Linked DNA regions of Mus musculus: regions 2 and 3 are each reported to be linked to region 1. Evidence: microRNA targets listed by miRTarBase, many of them from high-throughput screens and not tested one by one. Region 1 holds a microRNA gene; each other region holds the end of a gene's coding sequence.

Evidence for each region. The annotated mature microRNA mmu-miR-26a-5p reads UUCAAGUAAUCCAGGAUAGGCU and lies in region 1 at 2,551-2,572, opposite strand. An mRNA with a match to its seed (bases 2 to 7 or 8) in the 3' UTR can be bound and repressed. Matches are read on the target gene's strand: a 7mer-m8 pairs with bases 2 to 8, a 7mer-A1 pairs with bases 2 to 7 and ends in A, and an 8mer does both.
Region 2: miRTarBase lists Arsb as a target of mmu-miR-26a-5p. The part of its 3' UTR that is shown has no 7-base or 8-base seed match.
Region 3: the mRNA of Srprb is a reported target of mmu-miR-26a-5p. Seed matches in the 3' UTR shown: 7mer-m8 at 1,615-1,621.

Annotation. Positions count from the first base shown.
Region 1 is chr10:126,993,471-126,998,114 of GRCm38, reverse strand. Mir26a-2 (microRNA 26a-2) reads right to left here and starts at 2,585; the gene lies at 2,502-2,585. It overlaps Ctdsp2 (CTD (carboxy-terminal domain, RNA polymerase II, polypeptide A) small phosphatase 2), which reads right to left. Exons shown (of 8, transcript NM_001113470.1): 5 at 4,207-4,263; 6 at 2,168-2,260; 7 at 1,904-2,089; 8 at 1-1,754. The coding sequence ends at 1,629.
Region 2 is chr13:93,940,139-93,943,138 of GRCm38, reverse strand. Arsb (arylsulfatase B) reads right to left here. Exons shown (of 8, transcript NM_009712.3): 8 at 123-2,673. The coding sequence ends at 2,408. Among named protein-coding and RNA genes, the nearest start is that of Lhfpl2, 120 kb to the left of the region's middle.
Region 3 is chr9:103,187,669-103,190,668 of GRCm38, forward strand. Srprb (signal recognition particle receptor, B subunit) reads right to left here. Exons shown (of 7, transcript NM_009275.4): 7 at 365-2,753. The coding sequence ends at 2,540. Among named protein-coding and RNA genes, the nearest start is that of Srprb, 13 kb to the right of the region's middle.

The DNA.
Region 1 (4,644 bases):
ACCTTGGGAGGACCCTACAGACACCAGCAAATGAGGCTGGGGAAATGGCATGTGTTTGTCACAGAAGTGAAAGCCAAGGCTCCATAGCCTCGGGCCCAGGAAGAAGTCTGCAGAGTGCTGGAGGAATGCCAGCCAGTCTCCACTCACACCACCACACTCCTCCACCAGGCTTTCTCAAACCCCAGGCAGGACCTCGTGTGTGGAAACTAGAAAAATTTGAAAATATTGACTCCTGAGTGGGAGGTACCACACCTGAACCAACCCACAAACGCTGGCCGGCCTCCAGGGGAAGCAGAGATGGGGTAGGAACTCCCGCCCACCTCGGAGGGAGGCAGGGAGTGGGCGGGACTCACTTAAGGCAGTGAGGTGGAGGCCCCTCAGGGGCCCCTTGTGTTCCCAATGGTAGCTTTCCACTTTGGGGAAACTTCCACTCTGTGACTGACATTGAAAGCAACAGGGCTGAGAGCTCAGAGCTGCCCAGAGCACAGAGCTATGAGGACCTCACTCAGTCCTATAACGAGAAGCAGGAGGCATTTGGCAAATCAAGTAAGAGCAACACTTGGGACAACCAATCAATTAAGTACAACCGGGGAAAGTCCTTCTCCCAAGGCTCTGGAGAGGAAGAGCAGCAGCCGAGAAGGATAAAGGCGAGAGCAGACGAGAGCTGGCCAGGGCGGGACACCAGGAAGACACAGAGGGAGAGCCAAGCCCTCCCCAGCCTTTGGAGCTAATGTCCTTGCATCAGCTAGCACAGAACCCCTGAAGAGCACTTTTGGGATCTACACGCAAGGAGACAGACATCTTGCATTGAACATTTGCATTTTCTTTGTACCCCAGCGCTTCCCACACAAACCTCAGGCCCAGGACTGGAGCTCGGGCGAATATAAACCACTCCAAGTTTAGAAAGAGATTTTTAAGAGTTAAAAGAACAGAAATCAGCTATATGTCCTCCTCCAGGGCAGAGAGAAGACCTCCTTTCCCATGGGAGTAGGACTATGGCTTGGGAGTGAGAGGCTGGCCTGGCACTGGAGCCCGGGTACAGAGAAGTGCCCATGGCAGGCATTCTTGCTGGAGCCAGGTGTAGCCCATAGGACACAGAACCTGGTGGGTCTGCGAACATGCTCTCATATTCCCAAACATGTCTGCAGCTGCTGGCTAGGTTTCTGTGTTTTCTGAAAGATGTGTGTCTGGGCATCCAAAGCAGCCTCCGGCCTCTCCCTTCTCCTTGGCACAGGTCTTGATGCTGAGGGAAAGCCATGGTTTGGCGAGGGAGCCTACAATAGTTTTCATGGCTGTAAAGCTCAGTAGCTCACAGCATAGCAGGAAAGAAGACAAATGACTTGGGTTGAGTCCTTATCTTTCAGCTTCTCCCCCTACTGCACAACTGGGCACCCAGGACCATAGTTTACCGGACGGGCACATGCACGCACACACACCCACACAACCACCTGGGAACTGAGCACGGGGTGCAGAGAGCTCTGGGTCTTGGTCTGATTTCCTGCTCTGCGTGTGACCTGCTTTTGTCCCACACGCCCTGGCTACTTGCAGACCCCGTCAGTGAGGCTGACCACAAAGGCACAGTGTAGCAGAGTCCCCTGTTGGGATGGCCGTTTCTTGGAGCAGGAAGGCTAAGGGGCCCGCAGCTGCCCAAGGCTGGTGTAGACATCATCAGTTCCACTTAGCTCCTCGAAGACTGGAATCAGGTTCAGCAACTCTGTATCTGCCATGTCATCAAACCAGGACTGCACAGGCACCTGGGGCAGGAAAAAGTGACATTATCTGATATTTCCTTTCCTTTCCAGTGCCATTGGAGGCTGCTGGGCCACACAGGGGTTGTGGACTCCTCTGATAAAGCCCACGGGCCCAGCCTGCAGCCACCCCAGTCCCTGATGCGAGCACTCACTGCATTTTCTGGGTGGAAGATGTAAGATGCAGGGGAGTTGTCCAGGATGACAGTTTTCCTCAGGTCCCTTCCCAGGCGGCTGAGGTCCTTGACATAGCAGCCCTGGTGGAACACACAAGCCTCTCGGAACAGGCGGGCCCGGAACACCCCGCACCGGTCCAGGAGATCAGTCACAGGGTCAGCATACTGGAAAAGAAGGAGAAGCTTTAGCCTAGGCTGAGGGCTGGCTCTCCCCTGCCTTCTGCCCCTCCTGCAGTCAGGTACCTTGGCCAAGCTGGCAGTGAAGAGAACACATTCGAAGAGCTCCCCCATCCGTCTCAGGAACTCATCGACGTAAGGCCTCTTGAGCACATATACCTGGGAGACAGAGTGGATTGCTGTAGGAACCCCACAAGGCCAAGGACACAGCACCGGCTCTGCCTGTGCACTGACAGAAAAGCAAGCAGGCCTAGATACCCAGGTCGAGACACTGAGACCTCTGCCCCACCATGGACAGCTCTACCATGTTACCAGGCTTCTGCTGCCTCAACAGGCCCAACCCTAACCCGGCAGGAAGGAATGCACTCCCAGGAGCCATCTTCATTGAGGGCAGACCATGCGCTGCCTCCAGAAACAAGTAATCAAGAACAGGCCTCATGGACGGACACAGCCTATCCTGGATTACTTGAATCCAGCCGCAGCCTCCACAGTAGCCTTCTGTACGGGATTCCAGCAGGACGGCTTGTGTAGGTCCCATCTGGCAAGAACCACAAACTTCTTCAAACACACACCCTCGTAGGTTTGTGTGCACACCACCAGCTTCGAGGACTTGCTCGCTTTTAAAGGTTCTTCAACTAACTCGCCACCCAGTCTATGATCTGCTGCTTCTTCTTTCTTTCTTACTTCAGCCTGCACAAGTGTTCCTTAGGCCCACTCACTCACTTCCTTAAAGCAGCACAGGGGGTGTGCCCACCCCAGTCCCTCCTAGCCCACATCAGCACCAACTGAGCAGAGCCCTCCCATTTAGCAGCAGAACCCTCCATGCAGCTGCAAATGGATCTATCCATCACCTTCCACTTCTTAAGCCTCACAAACAAGCCCCTTCCTCACCAAGCATTGCTCTCCTCCCAGGCTCTCCTCAGATCCACATGGCAGGCAGCCCTCTCACTCAGGCCCCTTCTGCCCATGCCAGAGCCCCATACATTCTGTACATTTCTATTTCCTCAACTAGACAGCAGGGGGTGATGGGTGGAGTAAAGAGCCACAGCTTCGAGGCTCTGTACAGAAGTTCGTAAAGGGGCAGAGGGCTACGATGACAAACCCAGGACAGTCTCAAGCTGAACTTTCTCAGTCTGAAAACAGGTCTCATGCTTGCTAGGATGTCTGCATCACTGTCTCCGGCCCTCCCCTGGGCCGACCAGCATGCCTCTGGGCACATGGTCTCTCACCAATGCCTCGTGGTCCTTAACCCTAGGCAGCAGGGTGTACACGGCAGAGCCTGGACTCTGCCACTCTGACAGATGCATATGGAGCACTTACAGAAACCAGTGTAGAGGTCAGAAAGGTGTCATAGGAGGGGCCTGGGCCAGGGAAGACACATTCAGTAGCTCTTCACCAGAGGGCACAGGAGCAAATCCTAACAGCCCTGCACACAGAGCAAGGCTCGCCTGGTCTAAGCATGGACTGCATGGGCTGGACAGCATATGCTCTTCATTGAGGAGCTGGGTTCAATTCCCAGCAACCCCTGGCAGCTCACAACTGTAACTCTGGTTCCAGGGGATTCGACACCCTCACACAGACACACACGCAGGCAAAACCAGTAATGCACATTTAAAAAGCCACAGTGATGGCTAGGACTATGATGTGAAAATGCCAGGGGCTGCACACAATGGTGAAGGCCTTTAATTAACTCCAGCCCTCTGTGAGGTCCAAGTCAGCTAGAATTAAATAAAGAGACCCTATCCTGGGCTGGAGAGATGGCTCAGTGGTTAAGAGCATTGACTGCTCTTCTGAGGTCCTGAGTTCAAATCCCAGCAACCACATGGTGGCTCACAACCATCTCTAATGGAATCCAATGCCCTCTTCTGGTGTGTCTGAATACAGTTAAGTGTACTCATATACATAAAACAAATAATTCTTTAAAAATATTTTTAAAAAAGCCAACAGTTCTTGCAAACAGCCTGACTACATAGAGACAGGAGTGTTGGCTAGAGGGAAGTGTGGATGATCTGGAGACAAGCCATCAACAAACATGGAAGCTGATGATAAACAGGTTGAGAGGCAGTTTCCCTTTGAGGCAGGGTGTATGCTGGCAAACAGCTCACCTGGTGCGTGGTCCCCTCAATCTCTACAGGCACTATGAAGTCAGCATTGTTGATCGGCTAGAAGGCAGAAGTGCACAGTGTCAGCAGACAGGAAACCCTACCCCCTGGAGACAGCCCACTGAGCAGTTCTTAGCCAGCACAGGGCAAAAAGTATCACATATTTTCCGGTTTCCCTTCTCCTTCATCCACCCATCCATCCTACCCACCAAATTCTACCTGAGGTAAGTTTCAGGGCTTTTGAGATGGGGTCTTGCTACATAGTCTGGGCTAGCCTTCACCTCCTGCTCTCATGAGCTATGCACACAGGCATGCATGCCTGGCTCTTTGGGCTAGCCGTGTTCATCTCCTGTTTCCGTGAGCTATGCACACAAGCATGCATGCCTGGCTCTTTCAAGACTGACTGGCTCTTACTGGGTAACTCATGTTATTCTGGAACTT
Region 2 (3,000 bases), not on the chromosome of region 1:
TCTTTTTCCTTGCCTTAAAGCATACCAGCACCTTGGGGACATTTGTGACATTCAACTACCACTGCTCCAAGCTCCTGAACTTTCAACCATCACAAGGAGAGACCCCATGTCCAAGGCTGACATAGTTTTAGAAAGATTTTATTTTATTTTGTTCCTCAAATCTGGAACAATCATGGCATAACAAAGGAGTAAGTTCACAAGTTAAATAAAATCTTCAAGGTTAAACAAAATTGGAAAGAACTAACATTAATATCTCTAAAAATAGGTTATCAAGCTTTTACTTTTGTATCAAACATGAAAATCCAATGAGATATAATCTGAGACATATTCCATTCTATTTGTTTTATCAGACAAAACCTCCAGTTATTTTTAAGAATCACTTTCTGAAAGTCTTCTTAAATCCATTAGTTATGCTAATATTCCAAACACTGCCTACAGTCACAGCTGGAACTGAGGACAGCTGTTCTGAGAACACTAAGGAACGATCAGGTAGGTGTTATGAAGTAGGGACCGTCAGTCCACCTATAGCTACAGGAGGACACAGGAGGAGTATTCAGACTCATGTCACTCAGACTCTGTCACAGTCTTTGGAGTAAAAAGTGTCCTAATGGCAGGCTATATGTCAGCCAAGTTGGGTAAAGGTTGGTAAAAGATGTCATTAGCCATAGTACCATTTTCTTATAATACTCTTACCATAATAAAATACAGAATATTAATGACCAGGAGATGCTGCTACTGAACTGAAGATGACTGTGCATATCATATTATTTGGTGGTTTTAATTCCTAGTGTGCAGTGAAGAATGGAAATGGAGATTGCTGGCAAAGGAGACTTCCCGGGAAGCAGAATTCTCTTTTGTCTACCTGCAGAGGCCATCACAGACCTGCCATTCATTGACTGCCCAGATCATTCTCCCGCTAGCGCAGAGGTGGGAGGGGACAGCTTGAGGACAGAATCGGAAGGGCTGGAGGATATTTATTCTGCCCTTACAGTCAGCTCACTGGACTAGTAAATGCCAGGTAACTCTTTCTCGTTTACTTTGTTTATTAATTCATTTTTAAAAAGTACTGGCTATCTATTATGTCGCAGACATGGTTGCTGATGTTGGTGATAAACTGTGAATGAGACAGAGGTGTTAATGAGAAGTACCACTGGGTTTGACACACCCTGCTGCGAATCTGGTGGACTCACATCGGTAAGATGTATGAGGGTCTGAGAAAGGGCTGACAGTCAAATAGTGTATCCTCATTCTCCAAGCCCAGAATCCAGAGCCCCAGAACAGGGCAGTGAAACAGAGAATGAAAGGGACATGGATGGTGTCTCCTCTGCCTTACTGAGGCCAACATTCCATGGCCACTTCCTTTCTGAGACTGCTCAGGGCGAAGAAGTGCTATCCTGGCCTTTCTTGCCACTGCTTGAGAAAACAGCATAGACCATGGCATAGTGGGAGATATAGCCACAATCTTGACAGATTCCATGCAACTGTGAATAATCCTCCTTAGCAGATGCCACAGACCCACAACTCCCATTAGCATGGACACAGAATGACCAGTCCACCTCCTCTGGGCAGGGCTTAGGACTATCCTAAAGCTCAGAATGGGTGAAGCAGAGGGGAGAGAGACCTCAGGCACAGGACAGTGAAGTCCAAAGGCATGACAGGAACAGAGCCACACAAGCTGGGTAGCAGAAGTCTAGACAGAATGAGCAATAGTGGGTGGGGGTGGGGGTGGAGATAAAAACACATTTAGTTATCATGGAAACCAAAACCACGGCACAGGCATGTCTCCATGCTGGCTTACTGCAATGGGCTGTGCGCTCCACAGGAAGATGAGTGAGCGGATGGGTTAGGGCTAGGGCTAGGGCTAGGGCTAGGGCTAGGGTTAGGGTTAGGGTTAGGGTTAGGGTTAGGGTTAGGGTTAGGGTTAGGGTCATGGGTGCGGAAAGCCCGAGTAAGAGCTCACAGACAGGGAGCACTCACAGCCAACAGAACCACTAGCAACATCTGCTCCCTGCCTTTGTTACAAGAAATGTGTCTTGCCAATAAAGCTGGTTATTAGCAGAGGGAGTTCTAACAGCTGACTTGTGAAGCAAAAAGAGCCAGCTGTCCTGGCCTCCAGGACTCAGGGATAACTTCCTATGTCAAGTTCCCAGCGTCTGTAGTTTAGGAAGCAGGATGAACCCGGCCACCCTGGCCCCAGACACTAACTCCAGCCAACAGCAAGATCCTTCCAGATTTTACTGGCTTTTAGAATGTACTGTGGGTTGAAATTGGACTCCTTTGGTGGGTTATGTAGCATGAGGGCCAGGTGACAGGGTGGGGGATGATAAAGAAGAGAAGCCAGGGGAGTAGGGGCCTGAGGTCTAGCCTGCCCAGAAATGGGCTCCAGCCCCCCTTACTCCCCAGAGCCCTACATCCAGGGGCTCCACACACCAGTGCTCTTGGGATCGCAGCGGGGGTCCAAGGGTGGGAAGTGAGAAGGCACAGAATGTTCATGGTAGTACTGCAGGCGGGAAAGAAGGTTCTGGACGATGTGGGGGTGCTCTCGGGACACGTCGTGTCTTTCTTCAGGGTCCTGATTGATATCAAAAAGCCAGAGAGTCTTGGTTGGTGGGTCCACTGGAGGTATCTCAGAGACGTTGGACTGAGACGGAGGCGGGAACCAGTAACCACAGCCTGGTAAAGAAATTAAACTTTAGTGTGTGTGTGTGTGGGGGGCACTGTTGGTGGGTTCTAATTTCAGGAATCTGGGTACAAGGCTTCCTTGGCTTTGTGGGTATGGTCGTACATCAAGAAACAAACAAAAAACCTGTGCCTTCTGATGTCGAGTTCAGAATACGATTTCCATGCCATGATGATACGGATCCTATAGCGTTACAAGGGACATTAAAAACTATATGTGGGGTGGAAGCAGGATGGGGGTGTTAGTTGTCACGATGGCTGGGGCAATGAGGGTACTCCTGCTATCAAGCAACAGCACAGTAATTCTAAGATCTCTCGCAA
Region 3 (3,000 bases), not on the chromosome of region 1:
TTGTAGCAGCCCAGAACAGGAGTTTCTGGCTGAATCTTTAGCCCACTGCCCATGACCCTGGGTCAGCCTGGGTGTGTCCTAGCCTTGAGCCACAAGCCCCAGAATCATGTGTGCCAAACTAGCATGAAGCAAAACCTTAGTTTTGAACCTTGGGGAGGAACCACATGACTCAGCTCAGCTCAGAAACATTCTCCTTGCCTCATAATCTTAAAGGGAGGCATGTGTATTCTTGGGAATCTCTAACTTTTAAAAGTGAGTGTAAGTCCCACATTGGGTGACACCGGTTGTCAATTTTACTCAAATCTACGAGCGCGCTTGATACCTACACCAACATTCTGGGTTCCCAAATAAAAGACACACACATAGCCTTATATTTTATTGTGCCTGAAATAGCTCAATGGCTGGGCCACTGCCTCCCCTCCCCTCTGATAGAACAGCTCACGTCAGGAGGTGCTGGAGGCCCTGGGAAGCAGTGGCAGGGGCCAAGGCCTCCCGAGAGACCACAAGGCACCTAGCAGTGAGAAGCTGCTTCTGCCGTGGCTCCATGGAAGAGTCCAGACATAGAATCTTTGCTGCGGCTGCCTGTTTAGAGCTGGCTTTTACAGCAGCCCACAGCAAAGCCAGACCCATGCGTTCCAGGTAGGCATTCTACTAACCTGGTTCCCAGCCCTGCACAGCTTACCTTTTGCTCAGGACACAGGCTATAAATAAATAAATAACATTTATCCTTGCTCTCCATCCTTGTCACTTTTTTGATGTACTGATTCTCCCACTAAGTAAAATCACTTTATTATGCAGACAAAAGGGAGGCCAGCGAACACATTTTCTAACTGAAAGGTTTTTTTGATGAGCACCTACTGTGATGTGAACGTCCTTCATCGTGCCCTTCCCATTTGTCCGTGACCAACATGAACAGCAGTGTGCAAAGGGCAGTAAGAATCCTAGCAGCAATACTGCCTCCCAGTGAGAACTGAGTCATCTCATGGCTTATCTGTCCTGTGCTGTGCTGTATCTGTCTCATACACCATAAGCAAGGCCAGTAGATATTTTAGGAGTGGGGAGCTGAGTACTTGATGGGAATCATGGTCTGGGACTCTATTATCAGCCCAGGTGACCCACAGGGAGGCCATGTGTCAGCAGGCAGAGGCTTGGGCTGGTCTGCACAGAGAACACCTGTGTGTTTATCCTGTCCCTCTCACTGGTCCAGGCCAGCCCAGAGCGCCACACATATTCCCTGAGCACTGCACCTGAGTCAATGCTCTGCCTGTCTCTTTAGTGTGGCTTTAGTGAAGCCTGACTCTGAGTGTGAGACGAGACCAAGAGTCTCATATATGCAGCGATCTGTAGGCTCAGTAACCTGGAGCTGGGGTTCAATTCTAGCTCAGGTTCCCACTTGTACTCATCATTTGACTCAATGCTTTCAGTATAGTCATTTATCAAGATACCAGTCATTTATAAAAGCAATGAGAACACAAATGTTGAAGACAGCATCACTTTAAAAAGGTAACATTTTTTAAAGCATCATGAATAAATATGTATTTAAAATGCACAGTGGACATCTTCAGTTTGTATTGTTCCATAGCACTCTAGCTGGGGTGACACAACAGGAGCTGATCAAGTAGCACAGGGGACAGCCTGGGCTCACGCACGCCCGAGGCAGCAGTGTGCTGTCTCCCTGCTCTCCCCAGTGGAGCCTCTAGAACACTAACCTAGGAGTGTCTGGGGATTTGGCTCCTAGAGCCACCTTGTGAGGGTGACTCTTCGGGGTTGCGGCAGCTTTTGAACCTAGGGTGGTGTGGGGATGGTCACCGAGCCCGTGAAGGACACACTGTCAGCTAGGGTGGTGTGGGATGGTCACCGAGCCCATGAAGGACACACTGTCAGCTAGGGTGGTGTGGGATGGTCACCGAGCCTGTGAAGGACACACTGTCAGCTAGGGTGGTGTGGGATGGTCACCGAGCCCGTGAAGGACACACTGTCAGCTAGGGTGGTGTGGGATGGTCACCGAGCCCGTGAAGGACACACTGTCAGCTAGGGTGGTGTGGGATGGTCACTGAGCCCGTGAAGGACACACTGTCAGCTGTGCCTGTGGCTTTGAAGCTGTCTTCACTGTAGACCTTCACACCCCAGACTCCACTAAGAACTGACACTGTATTATGCCTACACCAGGGGCAACTGCAAGTTCACTTATTCCACAAGCAGGCAGATCTGGTCCCAGGAAAAGGGACCAACACAGAGGCAGGAGACAAGGACTTCTCAGATGCGACCCTACTCTCAAAGCGATGCCCTCTCTGTTATGTCTCACACTAACATGATGCTACACCTAACACCTAGCAAAGGGAGAAAGAATATGGGAATTAAGAAAGGACTAGCTGAGAAAGGAGCTGACGGGGGTGGGGTGGGGGTGGTACAATTGTTTCAAGAACTCAAGAAATGCTTCAACGACATGCCCCCTCTTTATCAGTCCACACCACCACCGCCCTTTCTCAAACTGCAGGGTCAGTCTCACATGACCAACGCTTGTGGCCAGCGATGCTCCTCAGGCAATCTTGGCCAGCCACTTCTCCAAGTCCTGGATGTCAGCAGAGCCAGTGTCCCCTCGTCCACCCTTGGCACTACACTCCAGGAACTCCACTTTGAGTGGCAACTGGGAAAATTCAAATTCTTTGCCTTTCTTCCCCAACTGAGCAGGTGCGGTGCTGGAACTGTCCAGTGTGCTGGGAGCCGCGGACCGGGTGACTCGTAAGGTGTTGCTGGGGGCAAAGGGAGAAAAGTCAGACGCAACAAAGCCCAAAATCCTATGAGCTCCTAAATCAAAGGGATAGCACCAGTCGGTATTGACACTGCTGGCTTGTCCTTTATGTCCATGGATCACTGTTTCAGACAGACACCAGTGGGTTAGGAGACCCAGGTCACACCAGCTCTTTGAAGCCTCTACCTACTTCTAAGCTCTCCTGAATGGCCCCACTGTATTATAAAACTCATGGTTTTGAAACTTCA